Pelodiscus sinensis: one gene and its partner. The protein of the gene in region 1 interacts with the protein of each later gene in a biochemical or structural test. Links are inferred from orthologs where the notes say so. Each region holds a gene or a part of one and is shown on either strand. Other genes may lie near its edges. The genes, in order: RBSN and RAB5C.

Region 1 (12,343 bases):
TCATTTGTCATATAAAGTTTAACACGTATCCCATGACACATTTATACACATCAAATTGGAGACCTGCTGTAATTTTCCTCATTGTTATCAGTAGAGATGTGAAGGACTAGCCGACTAGTTGACTATCTGATAAGTAAATGCTTATCAGATGATCGACAGGCTAGTTGACTAGTCACATCCCCCTGTTGCTGCCTCTGTCAGAAAGAGGCAGCAAGGAGGAAGAATAGTAGGGGGTACTTCAACAAAGCGGCAGTGTCACTTGGAACCTGGAGCCAGACCCCAGGCTCCAAGTGGCGCTGCCACTTTGAAATGCTCCGGGGAGCCCAGAATCAAGCTGCACACAGCATTTCAAAGCAGCAGCACCGCATGGAACCCAGGATCAACTGGGAACTGATCTCAGGCTCCATGCAATGTTTTAAAGTGGCAGCATTGACTATGACAAAGCAGACAGATAAAAATAACATCCTTAAAAATACAAATTAAAGAAAAATTTGAAAATGTCAGAGATATTTTAAATTGAAGGGACACTACTGAGATAGCAGAACACAAGTCTACTTTCATTGTCAAAAGTGAGTGAATGGCTAAAAGCAAATGAGCAGCTAAAGTGGTGAAAAGTAAAATTCAGTCTGATAAATCTAATTTAATAATCTAACATGGTCTAAGAGTAACACAAGCAATGTTTTAAATAAAAATATTGAGATTAAAAGCCATATATTCAAACAAAGTATCCTTTTAAGGGGCACTGTCAATTACAGTTAAAAATTATAAAAATTCAAGATTAAGGAAAAACAAGCAACTGTCCAGGAAAACACTCAAGACTGTTTCTGAACATTTTACTCAACACATACAACTGAAGTGTATATGAACAAAAAGCTAAGAAGAATCTTTTATTATCACAAAAATAGATTACCTAAACAGCATTATTAAATCCACTATAAATATAGCCAAGGCTCTTGTCAATTTCACACCCCACTTTTAATTATGTGCAAGTTATCCACCTTCAATTCCAATGACAAATCCATAATTTATTTTTTGAGATCGTGTCCACGGAAACTGCAAGCATAACTGTTATTAATTCTAATAATATAAATCCTTCATGTACTGAGAACTCTCACAAAAGTGAAGCACCTGCATTTTCTAACTTGGGCGCTTAAAAGTAGGTATCTGAAAATCAAGCCGCTTATTTAGTTGCCTAAAATTAGGAAACCAAGTTAGAAAACATTATTGAAACTTTCTGTTGGAAACTGTACAAAAATTCTTTGGCCTAAATCCATTTACACATTAACCAACCCCACTTCTAACTCATTTTAATCAATATTTTAGTGAAGTGAGACTTATAGCTGAGATGCTCTTAGGAATCTGTAGTGCAACAAACATACAGCCGCTCCCCGACTTACGGCCACCTCCACTTATGACCATCCGCACTTACGACCAAAGCGGTTATAAATGCTGATCCGAGTTACGAACGGCGATCTGCGCTTACAAACAGCATGGTCACCATGTAACTCTATGGGATCTGAGTTACGAACAGTTCAAGTTACGGACCAAGTGTTGGTTCGTAACTCAGAGAGCGGCTGTATTTCACTGTACATAATTTTACACAGCAGAAGTTAAAACTGTTGTCATGATTCTTACTTCTGAGCTGTCCTTTGACATCTCTGTCCTCACTTGAGTGTTCTTCTTCATAATGAGACTGAAGCTGATAGAAAGACTGCAGATCCTTCAGGCACAGGGGACAGAGAAAACCCTCTCTCACTTCCACAGAGTCATCAAATGGAGGAGGGTAGCCTGATGCCATGATGCTTTGTGCACTTGTGGTATACTGTTGTCCTCCAAAACTTAGCAGCAGTGGAACAGCAATATGCTGTTCTGTAGCATTATGTCTGATGAATTAACAAAGAGCAAGTGGCATTCTTCCTTGCAGCTTGTGCAAAACAGCAATCTGAAAAAGATGCACAGTGCAGTTTTAAACAGGATGAACAGTTTAACTCAGTAGCTATCTGATCTTTTAATGATCCAGTTACTTCCTAGAACACTGCTCCACAGACAACTGAAGAAACTAAAGCAGTGGCTCTCACCTTTTCAGACTACTATAACCCATTCAAGACTCTGAACCTTACCCCCAAGTTTCACCTCACTTAAAATCTCTGGACTTACAAAACCAGACACAAAACCAGACACAAAAATACAAAAGTGCCACAACACACTACAGGTTGAACCTCTCTAGTCTGGTACCCTGGGGATCTGACCAGTGCCAAACCAGAGGTTTTTCTGAACCACAGGAGGTCAATACTGTCTAACAGTATTACCAATACTTCCACTGTTTACTGGGCTCTTGGAAGACATTCAGGGATAAATTAAACAACAGCACAGAACACTAGAGCCAAGAATGAGGGCTTTAACACACTTCATGGGACTGCAGGAAACTTGGCCACACCCATAGTAAATGGACATCTGGCTAAATAAAATCTTGCTGGACCATGGATGTTGCTGGACCAGAATGAGCCGGACTAGAGCAGTTCAACCTGTATTACTGAAAAATTGCTTACTTTCTCATTTTTACCATATAATTATAAAATAAATCAACTGAACTATAAATATTGTACTTACATTTTGGCATATAGCTTATAGAACCATGTAAACAAGTCACTGTATAAAATTTTAGTTTGTACAGACTTTGCTAATGTTTTTTATGTACCTTGTTAAACTATGTAAATATCTAAATGAGTTGATGTATGCCCTAGCCTAGAAGACTTCCGTATACCCGCAGAGGTACACATACATACTCATGATTTAGTCTGGGACCTCTAGACTAAATCATACTTCACCTCATATCACATATTGCATGAGACCCTCAAGTATTCAGTGGACCCTTCCTTTTATACCCCAGCCCCTTAACTTCTCTTAGAGGGTGTAAAACACAAGTTTCTCATAAGATCCTTTGCTAGGGAAGAAAACTTATATGACAAATGACAAAGAAAGCTAAAGAAAATAAAATGTAAATAAAAATGGTCAGTCTGACTCAAAATACTTGGGTCATTCCAGGTAAATACTTTAGAGGGCAATTTCCTCGAATGTCCAGGATAAACCTTCATGAATGAAGTTAAACCATACTGATCTTTGGGCTCCACTGTACTAAAAATACAACTATTGGGTGCGTTACTGTAGGATTGTATGTTCATTTTTTATAGCAGTGTTTCTGAACCACTGGTATGAGTTCCCTTAGGGCAGGGGAGTCCAAACTTTTTTCAAAGAGGGCCAGATTTCATGAAGTGAACATGCGTGAGGGCCGACCATTTTGCCTGACATTCTTTGAACCATTAAAATTAAATGCAAATTAACTATTTTATGCAAAGTTTATTGCAAACGGCATACTTTTCATTTCATCACATGGATCACAAATCTAAACAGGTGTTAAATCACTCTGCCTTTCATATCTGAAGTCCAAATGAAAAAAAAATCCAGGAAGCTGAAATATATGTCAGGAACATTGTAAAGTACATTACATATTATTGGTAATAAAGGTTGTCTGTCAACTTTTAAGTTCAAAAAATATGAACAGGAACATAACACCAAGTATACATGTTGTGTCCAAATATATTTATAACTGATTTAGACCAACTGACATTAACTGAGATTTTACAATGTATTCATCTCAATACATATGGATTCGTTGGGGGCCTTAAAAGATAGATATTGCCAAATTACCTGTGGGGCCGTATTAAACCGGAACACGGGCCGCAATTGGCCCGCGGGCCGGACTTTGGACATGCCTGCCTTAGGGGTACTCGAGAGAAGTCTGAGAAGTCTGCAGGGTACGGCAACACAACTGAAATTTGGAGAAAACTGAATTTTGTTTTAAATTTTACACCACTTTATTATTTGTGTACTTCTTACACCCAAAAATTTCATCGCCTGCCCGGCTACATTTAAGTTGTTGAAACAAATGTATTGCAAGGGTAGAAAAAAATGTTGCCTCTGAAACGGTAGGTACTGGGGGTACTTATAATTTTTTTTTAAAGGGGGCACTTCATAAAAAGCAAAAGAGTTGAGAAACACTGTCCTAGAGACTAATGTCAACCTCGGGGGAGCGTGGGAACTTGCAAGAGGTGTTCGGGACGTTTCACCCACCGAAGTGGCTTCCTAGGAAGCACTTGGGAGACTATTCAGCATGGAAATCCTGCGACAGGTGCCTCCACCCGCCCCACGGAGGTGACGCTCTGAGAGGGGCGCTGTGGCGGGAGCACCGAGGGGGACGCGCTGCAGTCCAGCCACGCCCAACTGGATGGGGGAGGGTCCAAGTGCCCACGGGACACCCCGACCGTTACGAAACGCGCCCGGGGAGCTCTGCCAGCAACGTGTGGCCGCCTGCGAGCCCCGCCCCGCCCCGGGGAGCGGGCTCGGCCCCGCCCCGCCCCGCCGAGCTCTGGCAACAACATCAGGACCGCGGCGCCCCCGACCCCACTGCGACGGGGGGGGGCTGCCCCTGCCAGAAGGGGGAGGGTCCCGCGCTCCAGGGCCGGGCCGCCTTTACTCCCCACAAGGGCCCCGCCCTGTCCCGCGCGAGAGGAGAGGAATCCCCCCGCCCTGCGGACCCAGGGGCGCGCCCCAACCGAGGAGCGGAGCGCAGGCCCGCGGGCCGGATTCCGAGCCCACCCCGGGGCGGGTCTCACCTCGGCTCCCAGGCGAGGCGAGGCGGCGGCTCCGGGCCGCGGGCCCGGCCCAGCTGCGCTAAGGGCTAGAGCCCAGGCCGAGCGCCGAGCTAGCGATGGGAGGAGATGGGCAGGCTCATCCGGGACAGCAGGGAGGGGCGGGGCTTGACCGAGGCGCCACTGCCGAGCGTCGAGTCCACGGATCGAGGAGCAGTGGCTGCTGGGAAAGGGAGGGTTTAGAAGATCGCCGGGGCAAAGGCTGGGAAAGGGGAGGGGCCAAGGACAAGGAGAGGCCAGGGCGGCTCGTGGGCTCTGAGCAGGGGCAGGCTAGGGAGTGGGGGCTGTGAGCTCTATGGAAGCTGCATTGTCAGGCCCTATCTCCAGGGTTGCCAGCCCCAGCAATCATGGGGGTCTGGCGTGGGGCAGGCGCCGTTGCTTTCGGGTTTCCCTGCTAGCGGGGTACGCTCCAGTTACGGGCTCCGCTTTTCTCTGCAACCATTTAAATGAAAGCGGAGATTCTCCTGGAATCACACACGGTGCTGGGGCTGTAAGCAGAACGGTGTAGGCAGCAAGTCGGGAACATTGCTGTAGTCTCACTGCTTTGCCCCTTCACCTGTCTCTCCCATCCCACTACTCGTCTGTATCTCCCCTGGCAGGGCACGTCCCGCTCCCACTGTGCACAGAACCAGCCCTTGGTCAGAGGGCTCAGCTCACCAAGAGCCTGGCTGGAGGCTTCTTCCTCCCTCTCACTGCCTCTGGCTGGGAGCCGGTGCCCCCCAAAAGCCCAGAACCCTCCCCCCTGGGCACTGGGCAGGAGAAGTCAAGCCCTACATGTGCCAAATCCACACACAGCCCTGACATGGAGGATCTGGAGGATCCTGTCCACCTCTCAGCTAAGCTCTAGAGTCGTAGTGGGAAAGCGATTTCCATCCTGCTTGCTCCTCAAATAGGCAGGCTCCACAGCAGCCCCTCAGGCAGGTGCTTAGCACCCTCCTTTCACCTGCCCCTCTCCCCCCACATTCCATCCTGTCCCAAGGGAGCCCGGGGTGCTCTGTCCACTAGCTCCCCCTTTCCGAGTCACTTGGGTACGCTGAAGCCCCTGCAATCCAGTTCCCTGATCCCTGAAGTAGACAATAGAGCCTTCAGGCTTAACTCCTTCTTGCCCTCACTGTAGCCAGGGAACAAGAGGTGACTGGGTTGTCTGTGGCATCATCAGGTCATGCTCTACCTTTAGGCTCTCCTGCCTGTTCCCTGAGGTGAGGGCAGGCAGATTGGGACTGTGGTGCATGTGCCCTTGGGTCCACTGCCTGCGCAGTGCTGGGGCTGACGGCTTGGGTGGGGAGGGACTTCATGGGCAGGGGGAGCAACCAGGCACTGCATTGCAGCCCAGGGAGTCTGAGGTTGTGCTGCTCACCTGGCTCTCCAGCACTCTGGAGCTGGGGGTCTGGGGCTGTGCTGCCTGGCAACCCTGGGCTCCAAGGCCAGCAGCCACAATGGGAGGAGGGGTTGGGGCCATTGGGTATGGAAGGGGCAGGGCTTTGGGTGGAAGAGGTGGAGCTGAGGGCTGTCTCCCCAAGCCAGGAGTTCATCCACCATCCATGCTGGAGGGGTTAGCTGCCTTTTCACACTGTATCATCAGGAAGAGAGGGGAGCTGCTTTCAGCCACAGGAGGTTTTTGGGAGGTGGTCTTGGCTGGAGGAGTAAGAGATGAGTGCTGTAAAGACATGAGCCAGGTCATCCCTTCCCCACCTCCTCCTCCCCTGTAGCTGAAAGCAGCTTCCATCCCTTCCTTTCCTGCATAGTGCCAAAAGGATGCTGCGGGTCATGTTCTGATGTGAACCCTGTCAGAAAACTGAGGTGGGATGGGGGGTAAACCTACATAACCCACCCTTTCCCCATGTGTTACCTTGCAAAGATGTGGTACCAGGAGAGGCAGGTCCATGATAGGTGCCCAACCAGGCATATAGAGCAAAAAACGCTGGGCAGGGAGGCTAATGAGGTAGTTGGGAAGATATAAATAGAAACAGGCAGCAAGGGGATGTTTTGGAGGTAAAAGAGAAGTGCTTATTTACTGAAGCAAAATGCAGGACAATGTAGCACTTTAAAGACTAACAAGATGGTTTATTAGATGATGAGCTTTCGTGGGCCAGACCCACTTCCTCAGATCAAATAGTGGAAGAAAGTAGTCACAACCATATATACCAAAGGATACAATTAAAAAAAATGAACAAATATGAAAAGGACAAATCACATTGCAGAACAGGAGGGGGATGCGGGGTGGGGGGGGGAGGAAGGAAGGTAAGTGTCTGTGAATTGATGATATTAGAGGTAGGGAGAGTGGGATGTTTGTGAGTTAATGGTATTAGAGGTGATAATTGGGGAACTATCTTGGTAATGGGTGACTGCATTACAACAAGAAATTATAAGAAAAGCCTAAATATGCACTTTGGTGAAAGAATAATCTGATGTATGTTTGTGACCATGGGAATTGACCAGACAGTGAGATACATGTGGTAATGACAGTTACTCTGGGACACTCAGATCTCAAACCATCTGCAGGTTTAGGGGCTGAATATTTTGCCCTTGTGGCAGATACCATCTCATTCTGACTGTCTCCTTCCCCCTTTCCAATGAATGTTTCAAAGGAAGCTGGGAAGGAAAGGTGTGTGGAGTGTGTTTTCAAATTGTTGCCCACATAGGGCCCCAAAATCAGTACAAATGGCAGAGGAGCATCTTTCATATTATTGAGTTTACCCCATTCTGCTGTTGGACAACTATAATTTTACAAAAACCTGAAGGGAAATTAAAAGGCTCAGAACTGATCTGATTTAGTCACAGGAATAATAGTGTTATAAATAAACAAACTCATTTAATTTTAAACACCCATTTTCTTATTTGTATCCATTACTCCCCACTTTTCAAAACAATATACTCTTGGTTCAATTATGTAAAGAAAATCAAACAGCTGTGAAAATGAATGCAAATCCCAGTTATGATCACTTTCCTGCTTAGCATGGAAAGTGCAGGCTCAAAACCCATTTGCTCTGAAAAGCAGAGGAGAGATTTTTATGGTGCTGTTAAAAAAATTGCCCCAGTCAGAGACTGCTCCCCCATGTTATTAACAAATTTTATTGTATATAATAAACTGTTACCTTAAAAAATCAAATACCCGTTTAAAAATCAGCTAAGAGGGCATATTGATCCAAAAATTCTTAAGAACCTGAACAGTTCTTTTAAAAGAATTTAAAAAATGTGGGTTTTTTTTTTACAAATAGAGTCCTTGCTAAGTATTTTAATACAGAACTCTGTTCACATGGACTGGAAAAGAATGAAACTGTACAGTAAATTGCTGCACTAATAAAGCAAGCTAATAAAGCAAGACATGACAGTTGACTAAGTATAACTCCGGTCATCTGATGAAGTGGGCTGTGCCCACGAAAGCTCATGATACCGTCTACATGTTTCGTTAGTCTATAAAATGCTACCGGACCATTTGTTGTTTTTTTCTAAATTTAGATGATATCCAACTTCACTGCGTATCTGTTTTGATCCTATGTTGTGGCTTTTCTATTTATCTAGGCACTTTTAAGGCACTCCACCTAGGTGTCTAGGGAGCATATGTAAGAGAAAAGAAAGTAAGAGATGAAAATTGGATCAATCTGGAGAACTCTTTAACTAGCTTACTTGTTGTACCACTATTATATTATACGAAATACTCTCTAGCATCTTTCAGTCTTGTGGCAAATAAATACAATTTACATATTTTAATTACGAATTTGATAGAGACATCAAGATGTGTGCATCCCTTACATCCCCAATAGCTTTTATGCTGGTGGACCCCTGCATCTATGTGTATCTCATTGAAGTCAATGGGATTTTGCTTTTGCAGATCCAGTTTTAGGAGCAGCCTAGATGAGTAAACATCTGATTTTATTACTGTAACCTCTTTCCCACCTCCCCTTTCCATGACATTTGTCTACTGACCTCACTTGTCTCACATCTCTAGTTAGCATCTTTCTCTGCCAAGGAGGCACATTAGTCATCAGCCTAAGTATTTGCAGAGTTGAGCTCTAAGGCCTTAGTCCTGTGACTTGTTCTGCCTGGCAGGGGTCAGCCTATACCAGTGGTCACCAACCAGTAGATCGGGATCTACCAGTAGATCTTAGAGCCTCTGACAGGTGATCCTGACTGGTTTGGCTGGGAGACTATCAAGCGCTGGCACTTCAGCTGTCCCTCCTACCACTGCCCAGCTGCTACTGCCCAGAGCCTCAGAGTTGCCCCGGGAGCTTCCTGCTTGTTATGCAGGGTGGGGGCAAGAGAGGCAGGGGGCATTGATGTCACTCTGTCCCCCTCCCCTGTACCCCATATTCATAGAGTGAGGAGCGCAGGTCCTCAGCAAAGGGGTGGAGCAGGGGTATTTGGGTTTGAGGTAGATCCTGGACTGACTTAAATTCAAAAAGTGATCTTGTGCTTAAAAAGGTTGGAGACCACTGGCCTATACTGATCAATTTACAGTGTGTGGACATTAGATTGTAACCTCTCTGGGGCAGGGACCATGCATTTCCTTGAGTTGGCAAGACACTGTGATGGGCTGTCCCTGGGAAAGAGCCAGCAACTGGAGGACTGATTGGAGATGGAGCCCAGCTGGGGAGTAACACCTGGGACTGGTATGAAAGTAGTAAGTTTACAGCAGAAAGGGGATTGCATCAATAATAGAATCATAGAATCATAGGACTGGAAGGGACCTCAAGAGGTCATCGAGTCCAGCCCCCCGCCCTCAAGGCAGGACCAAGCTCCGTCTACACCATCCCTGACAGATGTCTATCTAACCTGTTCTTAAATATCTCCAGAGAGGGAGATTCCACCACCTCCCTTGGCAATTTATTCCAATATTTGACCACCCTGACAGTTAGGAATTTTTTCCTAATGTCCAATCTAAACCTCCCCTGCTGCACTTTAAGCCCATTACTCCTTGTCCTGTCCTCAGAAACCAAGAGGAACAAATTTTCTCCTTCCTCCTTGTGACACCCTTTTAGATACTTGAAAACCGCTATCATGTCCCCCCTTAATCTTCTTTTTTCCAAACTAAACAAGCCCAGTTCATGAAGCCTGGCTTCATAGGTCATGTTCTCTAGACCTTTAATCATTCTTGTCGCTCTTCTCTGTACCCTTTCCAATTTCTCCACATCTTTCCTGAAATGTGGCACCCAGAACTGGACCCAGTACTCCAGCTGAGGCCTAACTAGTGCAGAGTAGAGAGGCAGAATGACTTCATGAGTTTTGCTTACAACACACCTGTTGATACAACCTAGAATCATATTTGCTTTTTTTGCAGCAGCATCACACTGTTGACTCATATTCAACTTGTGGTCCACTATGACCCCTAGATCCTTTTCCGCCATGCTCCTTCCTAGACAGTCGCTTCCCATCTTGTATGTATGGAACTGATTGTTCCTTCCTATGTGGAGCACTTTGCATTTCTCTTTATTAAACTTCATCCTGTTTACCTCTGACCATTTTTCTAACTTGCTATCAAGAAAGTCTGTAGCCATCTTTTGTGCATTAGAGGAAATCCAGGGAAAGAGTTAGAGGCTGGGGACCTGGCTCTGGGGGAAGGGCATACCCAAAGAGAAAGGTGGAGAAGAAAGCTTATCAGAGGTAAACAGGAAGCAGCAGGACTAGGGACTGAGCAGAGCTTGACAGTGTGCTAGGCTCCCTGGACTAGAATCTGGAGTGATGGGTGGGCCTGGGTTATCCTACTAGCCACTAATGGAGAGTAACTGTCTGGGCAGCAGATACAGTGAGATTCTACTCCAGAAGGGGAAGCCACATAGTGTCCTGGTTGCAGCTCCTGGAGTGAGAGAGGGATTTCAGCTTGCGAAAAGACAGCAGGGAAGAGACTGCAAGTGGAGGCACTGGACCTGAAAGAGAGCTAATTCCCAGAACAGCCAGGAAGAGGTGCTACTGGTGATGAGCGAATACCCTATGACAGGCACTTAATGCATTTTGGGGCACTCAAGTAATAACAGAAAGTACAAGAAGAGGCTTTCCCACAGATAAGTGCCATGCTGGAATAAGCCAATGGTGGTGTGCCTCCTTGTGCCAGAGAAAATTGGATTCCACAAGTGGCATCTCAGTCAGGTAAGTCATGACTTCCTAACCACATGCTAAATATACCAGTTAAGTAGAGAAAGTAGATTTGATTATCACATTCCCAGAGGAGAGATCTTGATATCTAAATTTGCACTAGGCAGCACAAGGCGTTTGTGCAGACAGCATGAATCACTGAATGAAGAAAATGACAATCTGTGTAAATGCAGTCTTTTTTCCCCCATTGTTACAACATAAATTGTTTGTTCCCACAGTAATGGCTGCAGGGCATGGACCTCACTTAAGTTAGCGTAACTCTCATTAAATTTACCACAATACACTAACAAATACATGAACAAGAGATGGACTCAAGTTGCAAGAATTTGTATCCAGGTTTGGATGTGGCACATTGGTTCTCATAACTGGATACTCAGACTGAATATGCCCCTGTCAAGATCTTTGTGGGCAGGGATATCCTTAATACAAATGCCAACAGGCTATTGTGCCAGCACTAGATAGTGCTGCTCACAATGGCTTCAAAATTGCCTGTAATCTTGTACTTATCTGACAGCCTTTCATGGGGGAATATTACTTACAGAGCACTAAATAGCTGGAGATCATAGGCCAGATTCTCAATTGCCATAAATCAGCATAGATCTACTGTGGGCTGGGATTTACACTTGCTGGGAATCTGTGGGGCTGTTTTATTTTTTCATGGTGTTTGAAGAAAAATCCTTAATGGCTTATGTCTTCTGAGGATATATTGAGATTCAATTTGCTGTTTTAAAGATATAAGAATAAACTGTGTAGTGTGTGTGACTGTCTTCTACTGGATGACAGCAGAACTGCTCAGATCTGCTATAGGCCCTATATTGTTCACAACTAATTGAATTGTGTGTATAGTAATAACTCTTTAGCATACATGTTATGAGGCCCCCAATCAGGGCCTGGGGGCAGGGCAGTGCACAAAATCTCCTCCTGCTCTGCCAGGAGCGCCTGGCTTTTCCAAGCCCTGTGTGGTCCTGGCAGAGTGGAGGAAACAACGTGGGGCCAGAGCTGAGGAAACTTCATGAGCTCCTCTGCCCCCAAGCCCTGGTTGGCCTGTGGGCGGGGGAGCACACAAAGCCTCCTCCAGCCCTGCCAGGAGCACCTGGCTCTTCCAAGCACCATGTGGGCCTGGCAGAGTGGAGGAAACTTTGCGCGCTCCCCCTGGGCCTAATGGGTCTGGGACTGGGGGACTGGCAGGGCCTCTGTGGGCCGGATCCACCCGCTTGGTGGGCCGGATCCAGTCCATGGAGGCCCTTTTGCCCACCTCTGGCATAGCGCAAGCCATGGAGCAGAACGTGAAAGAAGTCCTGGGTAGCCATGAATTTATCTGTTAGCCATATTTATTCTATGGTATAAACATAGACCTCCCAGAATACTAGGGAATGTACCTGGAATCTGGACTGGGGAAAGCTTGATACAAGTTGGTGGAAAAGAGGAGGGTGAAAAGTTGATCCTTGAGTTATCTTTGAAAATGAAGGCTGGCCAACAAACCCCCAATTGGGGTCAAGCCCCCATCTGGCCACAGCATCATGACACTCCTGCACTCTCCTTTC
Region 2 (11,367 bases), on another chromosome or scaffold:
AAGTCCTGGTCTTCACAATATCCTCTGGCAGGGAGTTCCACAGGTTGACTGCACTGCATGAAGAAATACTTGTTTGTTGGTTTTAAACCTCCTACCTATTAAATCTAATTTGGTGACCCCTAGTTCTTGTGTTATGGAACTTATTCACTTTCTCCACCCCAGTCATGATTTTATAGACTTCTATCATATCCTCCTTAGTCACCTCTTTTCCAAGATGAGAAGTCCTCGTCTTATTAATCTTTCCTTATACAGCAGCCCCTCCAAACCCCTAACCATTTTCTGCCCTTTTCTAGACTTTCAAAATGCAAATACATCTTTAAATGAGACATCCATATCTGTCTGCAGCATTCAAGATATGGGGGCATACAGGCAGTCCCCGGGTTACATGGATCCGACTTACATCGGATCCCACTTACAAACAGGGTGAGGCAACCCTGCACTAGCTGCTTCCCCCCAGCAGACCAGGGAGACGTGAAGCTAGCGCCCCCCCCCCTACCCCCACCCAGCAGACCAGGGAGACACAGAGCAGCTTCTCAGCAGACACCTTAGCTTGAGAATAAAGGACTGAGGGAAGTGAGGTGTGGGAGAATAAAACTGAGCTCTGGAGAAATGTTTGGCTAGAGTTTCCCCTACAATATGTACCAGTTCCGACTTACATACAAATTCAACTTAAGAACAAGCCTACAGTCCCTATCTTGTATGTAACCCAGGGACTGCCTGTACCATGAACATCTAGATCCTTTAGACGTATGATTCAGGAAGATCACATTAGTTGAAGATGTAGGGCAAGATTCCAAACAGGATTACTTCAACCATTCGGAATGAAGCAAGCTACTCAGCGACCCATAAATGTCAAGTTATTTCTCAACACTGCCGTTCTGGGTCACTCAGTCACGGTGTGTAGCCGATCCCTGGTTCAGAGCTGCAGACTACATGCATTGTTCTCAGAATTCCACATTCATCATGGCTGCTTCTACTTCTGGCCACCCAGAGCACCAGTTACAAGCTCCAAGTATAAGAGCAACCCAGAGTGTGGTTAAGAGAAGCAGCCAAGGAGTTAATGGGCCTATGAACAGGAAGTTTCAAAGATATGAGCTAGAGTGGAGGACAAGGGCACAGGAACGGAAGCAGTCCCTGTTAGTCCATGAAGACTAACAGGCCCCTCAGCTCTTGGCCTTGGAGATTAAGAGTTTGGAGTTCAATTACCTCAAACAGGAAGAGGTCAGGAGTTGTCTCAGCTTGGCACCAAGGTTCTGATACATTGTCTCTTCTGCCAATTTGATCTAGTACAAGCAGGGCATTCAATTATTTTGAACTGTGTCAACAGAAAGCCAAGAATATACAAGCAGCATGTTTCACACGGAACAGCCTTAAAACATGATGTCCCAGCGTAATCTCTCTTCTTTCCTTTATACATTTTAACTTCAACCTTGATTTGTCTCAAATTGCCATTTACAAAAGCACAAGATGTTAGAGGTGAGCCAACATAATATCAATGCTGCCAGTAAGATCCCAAACCAGACAGTGTTGACTTTAACACCGCTGATTTCATTGAGAAGTTATAAAAAGGCTGGAAAACTTAGTTGCTGTTTCTCATACCAAGACACACCTTCAGTGTCCAGTTTCCTTAGTGAGGCAATATCACTAATGACCTGTCAGGACCACTGCTCCTTTACCCTTAAGTAAAAGTTACCTTTTAAGTGCAAGTAAAACCTAATTGTACTCCATTCTAGGCATTCTGAGCTGGTGCGAGCCAAAACAGAGATGGCTGCCTGCCCACCCAGCTCCTAATACACTTTAGATGTAGAACCATGGCAGGGGTAGGTCCTGGACCCATCACAAACCAGGACAGAGACAGGCTGCTGGCCAGTCTTTTTTTTTTTTTTTTTTAAAAGCAAACACTTACTGACAGGCAGGGAAATGCATGTAGTGGACAGCATTAGCCAATAAGCAAAAGCTTACAGGTTAATCAACTATGCTATTACATCCCTACTCCATTCAGCTTTGAATTTGTTACAGTTTAGCATATTTATGAGGTCTACATTTGATCCCACTGTCATGCAATTTAACTGCAGTATTACCTCTAAATGTGTTAAGTCCACCTTCAACTTGATACATATTCAATTTGTAAACACCAGCTCTGACCATTCCCCCCCCCTTTCTGAAATGAGAGACTGAAGTTGGGGTCTTAAGTCCACTAGAAGCTAGATACTTGAAACTCTTAAAATAGACACAAATATTGGATCCCTTTGGCAACTAACTTTGGGCTCCTGTTTCCTAAATCCCTGGGCAGTTTATTTCCACAAGATATTTTCTAAGAAATCCAAGCTCTTAAAAAAAAAAGCAGAAGTGCTCTAACCTTTGCTACAAGTCATAGAAGTTAGGAGAAATCAATTACTTTGTCTATACAAAACAGTACAATGGCACTTAAATAACCAGAACAGTTACAGCTGGCTATTGTGGCAGTCATTCAGAAAGCCTGACACAGCATGGTATTCCCCTACATATAAAGAAACTATTAACTAGTAACTCAGGCAGCCCTTATGAGTCAAACCTGAAGAGCCATATCCCCGTACTCCAACTGGGAAATTAAGTGAGCAGCTTCTAAGTATGCTGCTTTTAAAATCAGGAAGTAAACTAATTATAATAAGTAGTAAATATTATTGCTCTGATGTCCATAAGGATCATACATTTTGGTTGGATAGCACCTGCATTCTGTGCCTCTGAAAAATCTTGTACACTTCCACAGTAAGTGCACTACCATACAGGCCCTATCAAGAAGCGAGTGAGAAGGTTAGTTTTATAGAAGCATGCATATGACCTAAGTGAAATCTCTGTATGGGAAATTTGCACTTTTATTCAAGAGTCTAACCAGAGGAATCTATTTTAAGACACCATCTTTTCTTCAGTTAAACCCTTTATTCCTTGCACTTCCATTGTTTCACATTAGGCAACAAGCCCCCAGTCTTTGGAGCCAAATACCATGCCCATGTCAGAAGATAAGACACCCTCCTCCAAGGCTCACATTACAAGCTTATGTCCAAGTTGGGATTGGAAGTTGAAGTCTCCCCACCTCACACACCAGTGCTCAGCTCAGTCCAGACTAGGTGACTTCTCAAAGACCTAGTTTTGACAATTCTCTGCCTTAAACTTTCTGCTCAATAACACTAACTACCATAAAGCCATAATATTATGGTCAACTTGTACACCTACATTTGACAACAGAAAGCCTAACCCTTGGAAACACTATGCCACAGCCATTAGACCTGTCCAGTGCCCAGAAAGCTAGGGTGATTATGGCAACAAAAGCCACCATTACCCAGTCAACCAATCCAGTTATCCAGATCCTAATTGTGGGCAAGAGAGAGAGGTCTGTTTGCTGGGTCAAAGTGAATCATGAATTGTCATACATTTACCAAGTGACAATACAAGCCAGGGGAAGGGGAAGTTACTAGGAAATTGACTGTTCATAACCAGGGAAGCAATAGAATTAATGACCAGGGGCAGGGGGGGGGGGGGGGGGGGGAAAGATGAGTTTGCTTCTCTTTTCTACTCATGTAATAAGTGAGTTACCAGCAAATGCCATTCTTGGTATGCTTTATGTGCACGCATGGGGGGGGGGGGAAATGTGGGCAAGATTACAGAGTCTCATCCAAGACAGGACAATAGATTAATCCCACTTCTCACCAGCCACCTAAACTGGTCTCAGGTGTTCAGGGAAACAGGGAAGGTTACCCCTGTAAACAGCCCAGGATCTCAGCTGCTTCCAGGCCCATTTACACACACATGCCAAGTAACAAGGAACCCAGCCAAGTTACCAAGGGAATAACTACTCCATACCAACATTCCCTCTAATCCAGTCCATCCAGGTGTAGATTTTTTCCCCAACCACATACAGAATAAGTTTTGCGCACACTGAGATATGTGCAAAGGTGCACTACCAATAGAACACAGACAAAAATACTAGCTGCAGTAGCTCTGCTAGTCAGCTGGCTGGCCAGCACTTGACTCTGAGCAGCTACGCAAGTGCCCAGCATACAGGCAACACTGCCCAGTACTGTGTGGCCAGGGCTGATCTCTGCTGACCCCTGAAGAGTGGCTGGGCAAAGCTCCCTTAAAAAGACCCCCCCCCCCCCCGAACACAACCTTACGTATAGAGCAAAGAATAAAGAGGGGGAGCATGTGAGACAAGGACAGAGTCCCCCCAGCCCAGTGCCTCCTTGCCAGATCACCCCCTGGTCCCAGGAAGCAAGGCACCCCCCACCTCAGGGCCCCCCCCACCCACAAGGCACCCACCACAGGGCCCCCCCACCTCAGGGCCCCCCCCACCCACAAGGCACCCACCACAGGGCCCCCCCACCTCAGGGCCCCCCCCACCCACAAGGCACCCACCTCAGGGCGCCCCCCACCCACAGGGCCTCTCTGCCCCCCGGCTCCAAGGGGCAGGACACCCCCCTGAGCGGCCCCTCCCCGCCCGACTGCGCCCCCGCCCCGGCTCCAGGGAGCAGGACACGCAGCACCGAGCCCCCGCCCCAGGACGCCCCGCTCCGAACCGGCCCCACTCACCGCGCCGGGGTCGCCTCTCTCCCCCGCCCCAGCTGGCTCTCAGGCTGCGGCCTCCACTTCCGCCTTTCAGCTGCTCCGTTTCCGGGTCCGCCCACCCCTTCCGCTCCGGTCGGGCGGGGTCAGAGGCAGCGGCGTCCGCCAATCACCGAAGCCCTGCCCACTCCTCCCTCCCCGCCCCTCCCAGCCCGGCCCTTCTCCGCGCTGCCGGAAGTGGGGCGTAGCGCGGCGGGGCGGTCCACGTGACGCACTCGCGGGGGCCGATGGGAGTTGTAGGCCTCGAGGTGGGAGGGTGCCGCCTGGGGCGGTGGGCGCAGCTTGGTGCGCAGGGAAGAAACAGGGGGAGGAGCCTGGAAGGGGGCGGAGCTTGAAGTGGGTGGGGGAAGCGGAGGGAGAAGCCTGGGCGGTGGTAAGGGGAGGGGGAGGAGCCTGGGGCAGAGGGAGGAGCCTGGAACGGGGATGGGCAGGGGGAGGAGCCTGGGGGCGTGGGTGGAGCCTGGGGCGGGGGCTCGGTGCTCCCTGGAGGAGGAGCCAGGGACAGAGGGAGGAGCCTGTAGTGGGGGGGGCGAGGGGGGATGAGAACGGAGGGGGTGGAGCCTGGGGCAGAGGGAGGAGCCTGGGGCGGGGGAATGAGAACGGAGGGGGTGGAGCCTGGGGCAGAGGGAGGAGCCTGGGGGGGGGGGAATGAGAATGGAGGGGGTGGAGCCTGCGGGTGGGGTTGAGCCTGGGGCAGAGGGAGGAGCCTGGGGCGAGGTGGGGGGAGGGAGGAGGAGCCAGGGACAGAGGGAGGAGCCTGTAGCGGGGGGGGGGGGGCGAGGGGGGGATGAGAACGGAGGGGGTGGAGCCTGGGGCAGAGGGAGGAGCCTGGGGCGAGGTGGGGGGAGGGAGGAGGAGCCAGGGACAGAGGGAGGAGCCTGTAGCGGGGGGGGAGCGAGGGGGGGGATGAGAACGGAGGGGGTGGAGCCTGGGGCAGAGGGAGGAGCCTGGGGCGAGGTGGGGGGAGGGAGAGCAGGAGGAAGACTCTGTTGCCTGGGTGGGGGGCCAGCAGGACTTCCCCCTGGTGGCAGCAGGGAGCTCCCTGGGATAGCTGGGATCATCTGTGCCACCCCAGAGCTGGGTGTGATAGGGAGGGGTGCTGGGCCACCCAAGCCTGCTGGGGGGGGAGGGGGGGGCGCTTGGCCTGGAGGAGACAGAGGTGGAGGCATTGGCCCACGGGTCTGCTTTGGGACGCAGCCTGCCCTGCTGCACACGGTCAGTCCCGTGCCCACGGCTGGAGCTGGCCCTGAGGACAGCTGGACTGGTATAGTGGTTTTAGGCTGTTCTGCTGCCCCCATCCCCTCTTACCCAGGAGGCTGCAAACTGCCCAAGTCCAGCCACCAACATGACTAGTGTTGCCAGGTGTCCGGTATTGTACCGGACAGTCCGGTATTTGCTCGCTCTGTCCGGTAAAACAAATCAGACAATACTGGACACGTGCAATGTCCGGTATTGTCTGATTTTTCCGGCTGCGCACCAGACAGAAGCCTGGCAAGGGCGGGGGGAGCGGCTGGGCGTCCTAGTTGGGAAGCGGGGCCACCATTGCCGCCGAGAGCCCTCCGTTGGTTGAGTGGGGGAAGCCTCCTCCTTGCTCGTGCGTTGCCGGGAGCCTGCGCGGGACAGGCAGCGCCCCAGGATCTGCAAGTGCCCGGGTCAGTCCCGCTCCCGCCGGCCGATTTGCTCACCCCTCCCCTACCCGGCCGGCCGGTCCTCCCCCACTTCCCCTCCTGATCTTCCCCGGCCAGCCCCCCTGCACCGCCCCCCAGCTCTGCTTCCCACTGGCCTGTTCTTCTTCCTGCGCCGCTGCACCCCCGCCCCCGCCAACTCTGCTTCCCTCCCAGCCAGCCCCACGGCTCCCGACCCCTCCCCAGCTGTGCTTCCCACCTCCCTTCCTCCTGCCCCCCCTTCCTCCCGGCCAGCCTCGCAGCTCCCGCCCCCCCCTTCCTCCCGGTCAGTTCCCCTCCCCTGATATTCCGCGGCCAGCTCCGTACCGCCCAACCTCCCCCCCCACGACCAGCCCTGCTTCCCGTTGGCCCCCCCATCTTTCCCCAGCCAGCCCCGTTGCCCCCCCCCCGTTAGCTGTTTCCAGGCCCCCCCACCCTTCCCAGTCAGTACCGCTCCCCGCCTGGCCAGTCCTTCTCCCTCCCCTCCTCCTATGAAGCGTGTCCAGTTTTTTTGTTAATGACTACCTGGTAACCCCTAGCAGTGCCCCATCCCTGTGATCACCACAGAGATTTAAACTGAGAAGCAACTTGCCTCCCTCCTCAAGCCCCCCCTGGCTCCCAACACCCCAGCTCCCTGACCCCAGCCCCAGGTTCTGCAAGGCTGCTGGCACAAAATGGCCTTGGAGTCTTTTTTTTTTTTCTCAACCTCTTTGGCTCCCCCCCCCCTTTTTTTTTCCTTCAACAGAATTTTTTCTCAGTGTTTTTTTTTTTTTTGGCAGGGGGCGGCTTGTTCTGTATTTTTGTTTCAACCATCTGACAACCGTAGACCTGACCCATGCCAGCTACACAATTCAGCCTCGGCGCGCTGACAGGGCCCCTCCACAAACCCAGGCCGTGGCTCAGGGCTTAGGAGAGGGTTCTGCCTCCAACATCCCAGCGGGGCTGTAGCTCCCAGAGGCTGGCACTAGCAGGAGAGGGCTGTGCTGGGCAGCAGAAGATCCTGGGTTCAGGCCTGCCTCTGACACATACGCAACCACCCAGAGCTGGCTGCATTTCAGCGGCGGGTGTGCAGAGCAGCCAATGAGCATTGGAAAGAAAGGGGCTGAAGACGTGAACATCACCGTGGTGCAGTGGAGGGGAATTCCCCCGAGTAGGGGTGTCCTCACGGACAGCAGCCCCTGGCGTTTCTGCAGCAGTGCCTGATGGGCGGGAGAGCAGAGCGTAGTCCTGTGCCATGCCCTGGAGACGAGGGCTCTGGGGTTCAAAGGGCAGAAGTGGCAGCTGTAGCTACCCAGGGCCTGGCAGGTTGCCAGGACAGGGGCCTGGTAAGAGGAAATTTGGCAGGCAGAGCTATGGGCTGGCTCCGCCCTACTTGGCTGTAGGATCTTTACGGGTGTTCAGGCTGGGTCCTAGTCTGTTACATCGGGAGCTGCTGTGACTCAGCCCAATGCCGGCCCTGCTGCAGCTTGGAAAGCACATGGAGCAATGGGGACTGTGGGCTGGGTCGGAGGATGGGATCAGCGACCTGCCCTTGGTGTGGCCCAGCAGCCTGCAGTCACACGGCAGCCCCAGCTTAGGAGAGCAGGTGATGCAACCCACCCCGAGGGCTCGTTAGGGGAGGGAGCCGAGAGGCCGCCCTGTGTTGCCAGCAGCGATGTTTGTTGCTCGCAGAGACCTGGGAGCTCTGGCCCAAGGGAGATTTTTCACGGGCTAGCCTGTGTGGCTGGGGCAGAGCAGGGAGAGAAACCTCCCCCCCTCACAGGGTCCAAGCTGCCAGAGTCAAGGGGCGCAGTCAGTGAGCCGGGCTGGGTAAGCCCCCAGGAGCATGTAGAGAGCTGCAGAGCACAGGGCGGACAAGGCCACAGGAGGCGCTGCCTGTCAGCATAAACCCCACTGCCCCCCATGCCGGGCTGGAGAGCAGGCTGGGCCACTGAGCCAGTGGGGCAGGGGAAACGCACACTCCCCTCTAGGCCAGAAAACTGGGTTGGCCAATCTATCCATGGCTGAGCCCCAGCAGCCTAGGACAGGTGGGGACTGGTGCCCGTGAGTCAGGCTGGCTTGCCAGGAAAAGGCGCCACCAGTTAATTGCCCTGTTCCAGGGAGGGTAGCTGGCTGGCACAGCACCTCTGACAACACGGCTACGTCTAGACTGGCATGATTTTCCGCAAATGCTTTTAGCGGAAAAGTTTTTCCGTTAAAAGCATTTGCGGAAAAGAGCATCTAGATTGGCACGGGTGCTTTTGCGCAAAAGCACTTTAGACGCAGTTTTGTGCAAGAAAGCCCCGATCGCCATTTTCGCCATCGGGGCTTTTATCCGCACAACAATACCGCGTTGTCTACACTGGCCCTCTTGCGCAAAAGCATTTACACACGAGGGCTTTTGCCCGAACGGGAGCAGCGTAGTATTTCCGCACGAACACTGACAATCTTACAGTGTCTTACAGCAAGTGGCTGTGATGGCAAGTGGGTGGGGGAAGGGGCAAGGCCTGAACTGGTCCCCAGGATCCCAGAAAGCAGCAGCAAAGGGATCTGAGCAGATGGAGCCCCAGGTAGGGGGGGGCCTTTCAGCAAGGTGCTTTGGGGTGCCAGGTATTTTGGGAATCAGACTGAGTTGTCCCCCCCCCGTCTCTCCAACCCCTCCTATGCCAGCCATTGACCGTACCACGTACCAAGCAGCAGGGGCACAACATTGCCCCTCCCCAAAAGCAGCAGGAGGCAGTGGCTGTAAAAATAGAGCTTTTATTTCATGTTGTGTCTCTGCAGCACCATGGAGGGGGTGGCCGGGGAGGGGCTGGGCAGCGGTGGCACATGCTGGTGGCAGATGCGGGGAGGATTCATCTGTGGAAGGGACCAAATATAAAACGGAGCAAAACGCCGGAGAATCACTGAAGTTCCCAGCAGGGAGCAGAGCCCCAGAGCCAGGCGCCGCAGCAGACGGGGAGGGCAGTGACGGGCGACTGCTGGAGTCCGGGTGCCTCTGGGCTCAGGGAGAACAGTGGCTGGTAGCAGCCCAGCTCTGTCTGTCTGTCTGTCTCTCTGTGTGTGTGTGGTCCCAAGGAGGTGTCTGCTTGGCCGTGGTCCCCTTAACTCTGCCCGCCGTGGCTGGGTCCAGGCTCACCACCTTGTGGCCCAGCCCAGCCCCTGCAGGCCCAGCCCGAAGAGGCAGGCTGGCACGGCTCTCTCTCGGACCAGCTGCTAGAGCTCAGCACAGGGTCCCTGGACAGCGACCAACCCTTATAGGGCTTCCCCTGCATCCTAATCCTGAGCACAAAGGGGCTTCCCCACCCACCCAGCCCCCTCCCTCGCACTGAGGTCAGAAGAGACTGCCGGTTGTGGCGAGCACAGCCAAGGTCTCGTGGGGAGGAGGCAGGCTGGGATGTGCCACACAGGCACTTGTTGGGAACAGCCCAGAGGCGGCCAGGGCGGAGAATTCCCAGTCGCCGAGGCGGCCAGGCAGGGCTGTGCCGGAAAAGACGTAGGGTGACACAGGCCCAGCGCTGGGGGCGGCTGCGTGAGCTGGACAGGTGGGGAGCTAGGCTGAGCTGGGTCATTCACACACAAAGGGGGTGCTCCTGGAGCTGCACAGCTCCCAGAATGCACTGCTCCAGCTCCCCTCCAGCCAGAGGGTCTGGCCGGCCACCCCCAGGACTGAACCAGGGCCCTGGAGCTTGGGCTCCGTCCCTGGAGTTGCAGCAATCACCCCCCTCCGGGGAGGGCAGGGGCACCTGGCCCCCCCGCGCAGGGGGTTACACTTGCATATTGGGACACGTAGCCTTGGCACAGCACAGTCTGGACCCCCCGACTTGCAGCGCCTCGAAACTGAGCCCTACGGCGCCGGGAACAAAGCGGCCGACAGCCTGGGGGTGGGGATTCCCGGCCGGGCACCAGGCGCTACCGAGTCCAGCCCAGTCCACCACTGCCCCTGAGGCTTCCCTGGAGTCCGGGGCGGATCGGCGAGAAGCTGGACGGCCCTACCGGCCCCGGTTTCCAAGTGGCCCTAGGATCAGCCCAGCTGGTTTCCAGCATTGTGCGTTTCATGCAGCTTTTCCTCCCATCAATTACACCAGAGCCCTTCCAGCCCGACCCGCTCGGCCCCCAGCTCCAGCCCCACCGCCCGCCCCGTGTTGAATTCGTGCCAATTCGTACTGGAGATAGGAGCAGAAGACTGGGGAGACAGCTCCCACCAGGGGAGCAGAGAGGTACCTCGCTGGGGGGGGGGGGGGCGCTCCAGGCCTGTGGGGCGCCAGTGGGGCTGGGCTGGGGGGCAGCGGATGGCCTTGTGCTCACGGTTGTCCTGGGCGTTCTACGGCTCTCGGAACAAACTGCTCGTCGCAAACGTAAAAAGCGTCATTTTGTAGAAAAGGCCGCGGCTCTGCAGTCTGCGGGCAGTTGGGTTGACAGCTGGAGCGGAAAGTGTCCTGGAAGAGCCCAGGAGGGGGGGCTCTCCTTCACTCCTCCCCCCAATTCCTATCTCTTGTGATTCCTCCTGCAGAGGAAAGTTGCTGCTGGCAGAACGGGGGTGGCCTCCGTGCGCTCCATCCGTTTCGCTCGCCCCGGTGCCCAGCCGGAGCCAGGCGGGCGCCACACCCGGAGGGCGAGCCAGACAGGAGGCAGGGGTGCGGCTCTGGGCAGGGGTGAGCCGACGGTGGGGGTGTCAGCGGAAGCTTTCCGAGTCTGATCTGCAACGGAGGAGTGGCCCGGGATGGCTCTGAGCGGGGCAGTGGGGGAAGGCGGGGCTGGGGCCGGCGGGGGGCGAGGGGAGGGGACACAGGACCGGGGAGCCTGCGAGCGAGTAGGGGAGGCTGGGCGTCAGCCCGCAGTGCAGGGCGGCCTGTGTCGGCGAGAGGAGGGCTCCGTCCATGGCCGCCCAGGGCAGGTGGTAATGGCAAGCGGGGCTGGAGGGCGTGCAGGGGGAGTCTCTGTGAGCGCGGAGTCCTTCTGGCTCCCGGGGGCTGGCCCTGGCGGAGGTGGTGCCGGGACAAGCTCCGGCGTCCCCCGCCCGTGGCGGCAGCGGCCCTGCGATGGCGGCGGCAGCCGAAGGCAGAAGAGGCGGCCCTGCTGCCGGGGGCAGTCTGGGCGGCTGCTCGCTCCCGCTGCTGGGTTT

What was found.
Region 2: the proteins of RBSN (region 1) and RAB5C form a complex in vitro, tested with the Homo sapiens proteins (2 studies listed by BioGRID and IntAct, with this or other methods). The link is inferred for Pelodiscus sinensis from reciprocal best matches to the Homo sapiens genes RBSN and RAB5C.

The regions. Positions count from the first base shown.
Region 1 is NC_134721.1:20,568,700-20,581,042, reverse strand, and holds the start of RBSN (rabenosyn-5), read right to left. Parts: upstream 4,835-12,343; 5' UTR 4,674-4,834; intron 3,920-4,673; exon of another isoform or gene 3,709-3,919; intron 1,943-3,708; 5' UTR 1,799-1,942; coding exon 1,636-1,798; intron 1-1,635. UniProt on the Homo sapiens protein: Rab4/Rab5 effector protein acting in early endocytic membrane fusion and membrane trafficking of recycling endosomes. Required for endosome fusion either homotypically or with clathrin coated vesicles.
Region 2 is NC_134739.1:9,302,839-9,314,205, reverse strand, and holds the start of RAB5C (ras-related protein Rab-5C), read right to left. Parts: upstream 4,725-11,367; 5' UTR 4,567-4,724; intron 1,274-4,566; exon of another isoform or gene 1,207-1,273; intron 1-1,206. Other genes in the region: voltage-gated delayed rectifier potassium channel KCNH4, read right to left, coding at 10,918-11,367. UniProt on the Homo sapiens protein: The small GTPases Rab are key regulators of intracellular membrane trafficking, from the formation of transport vesicles to their fusion with membranes.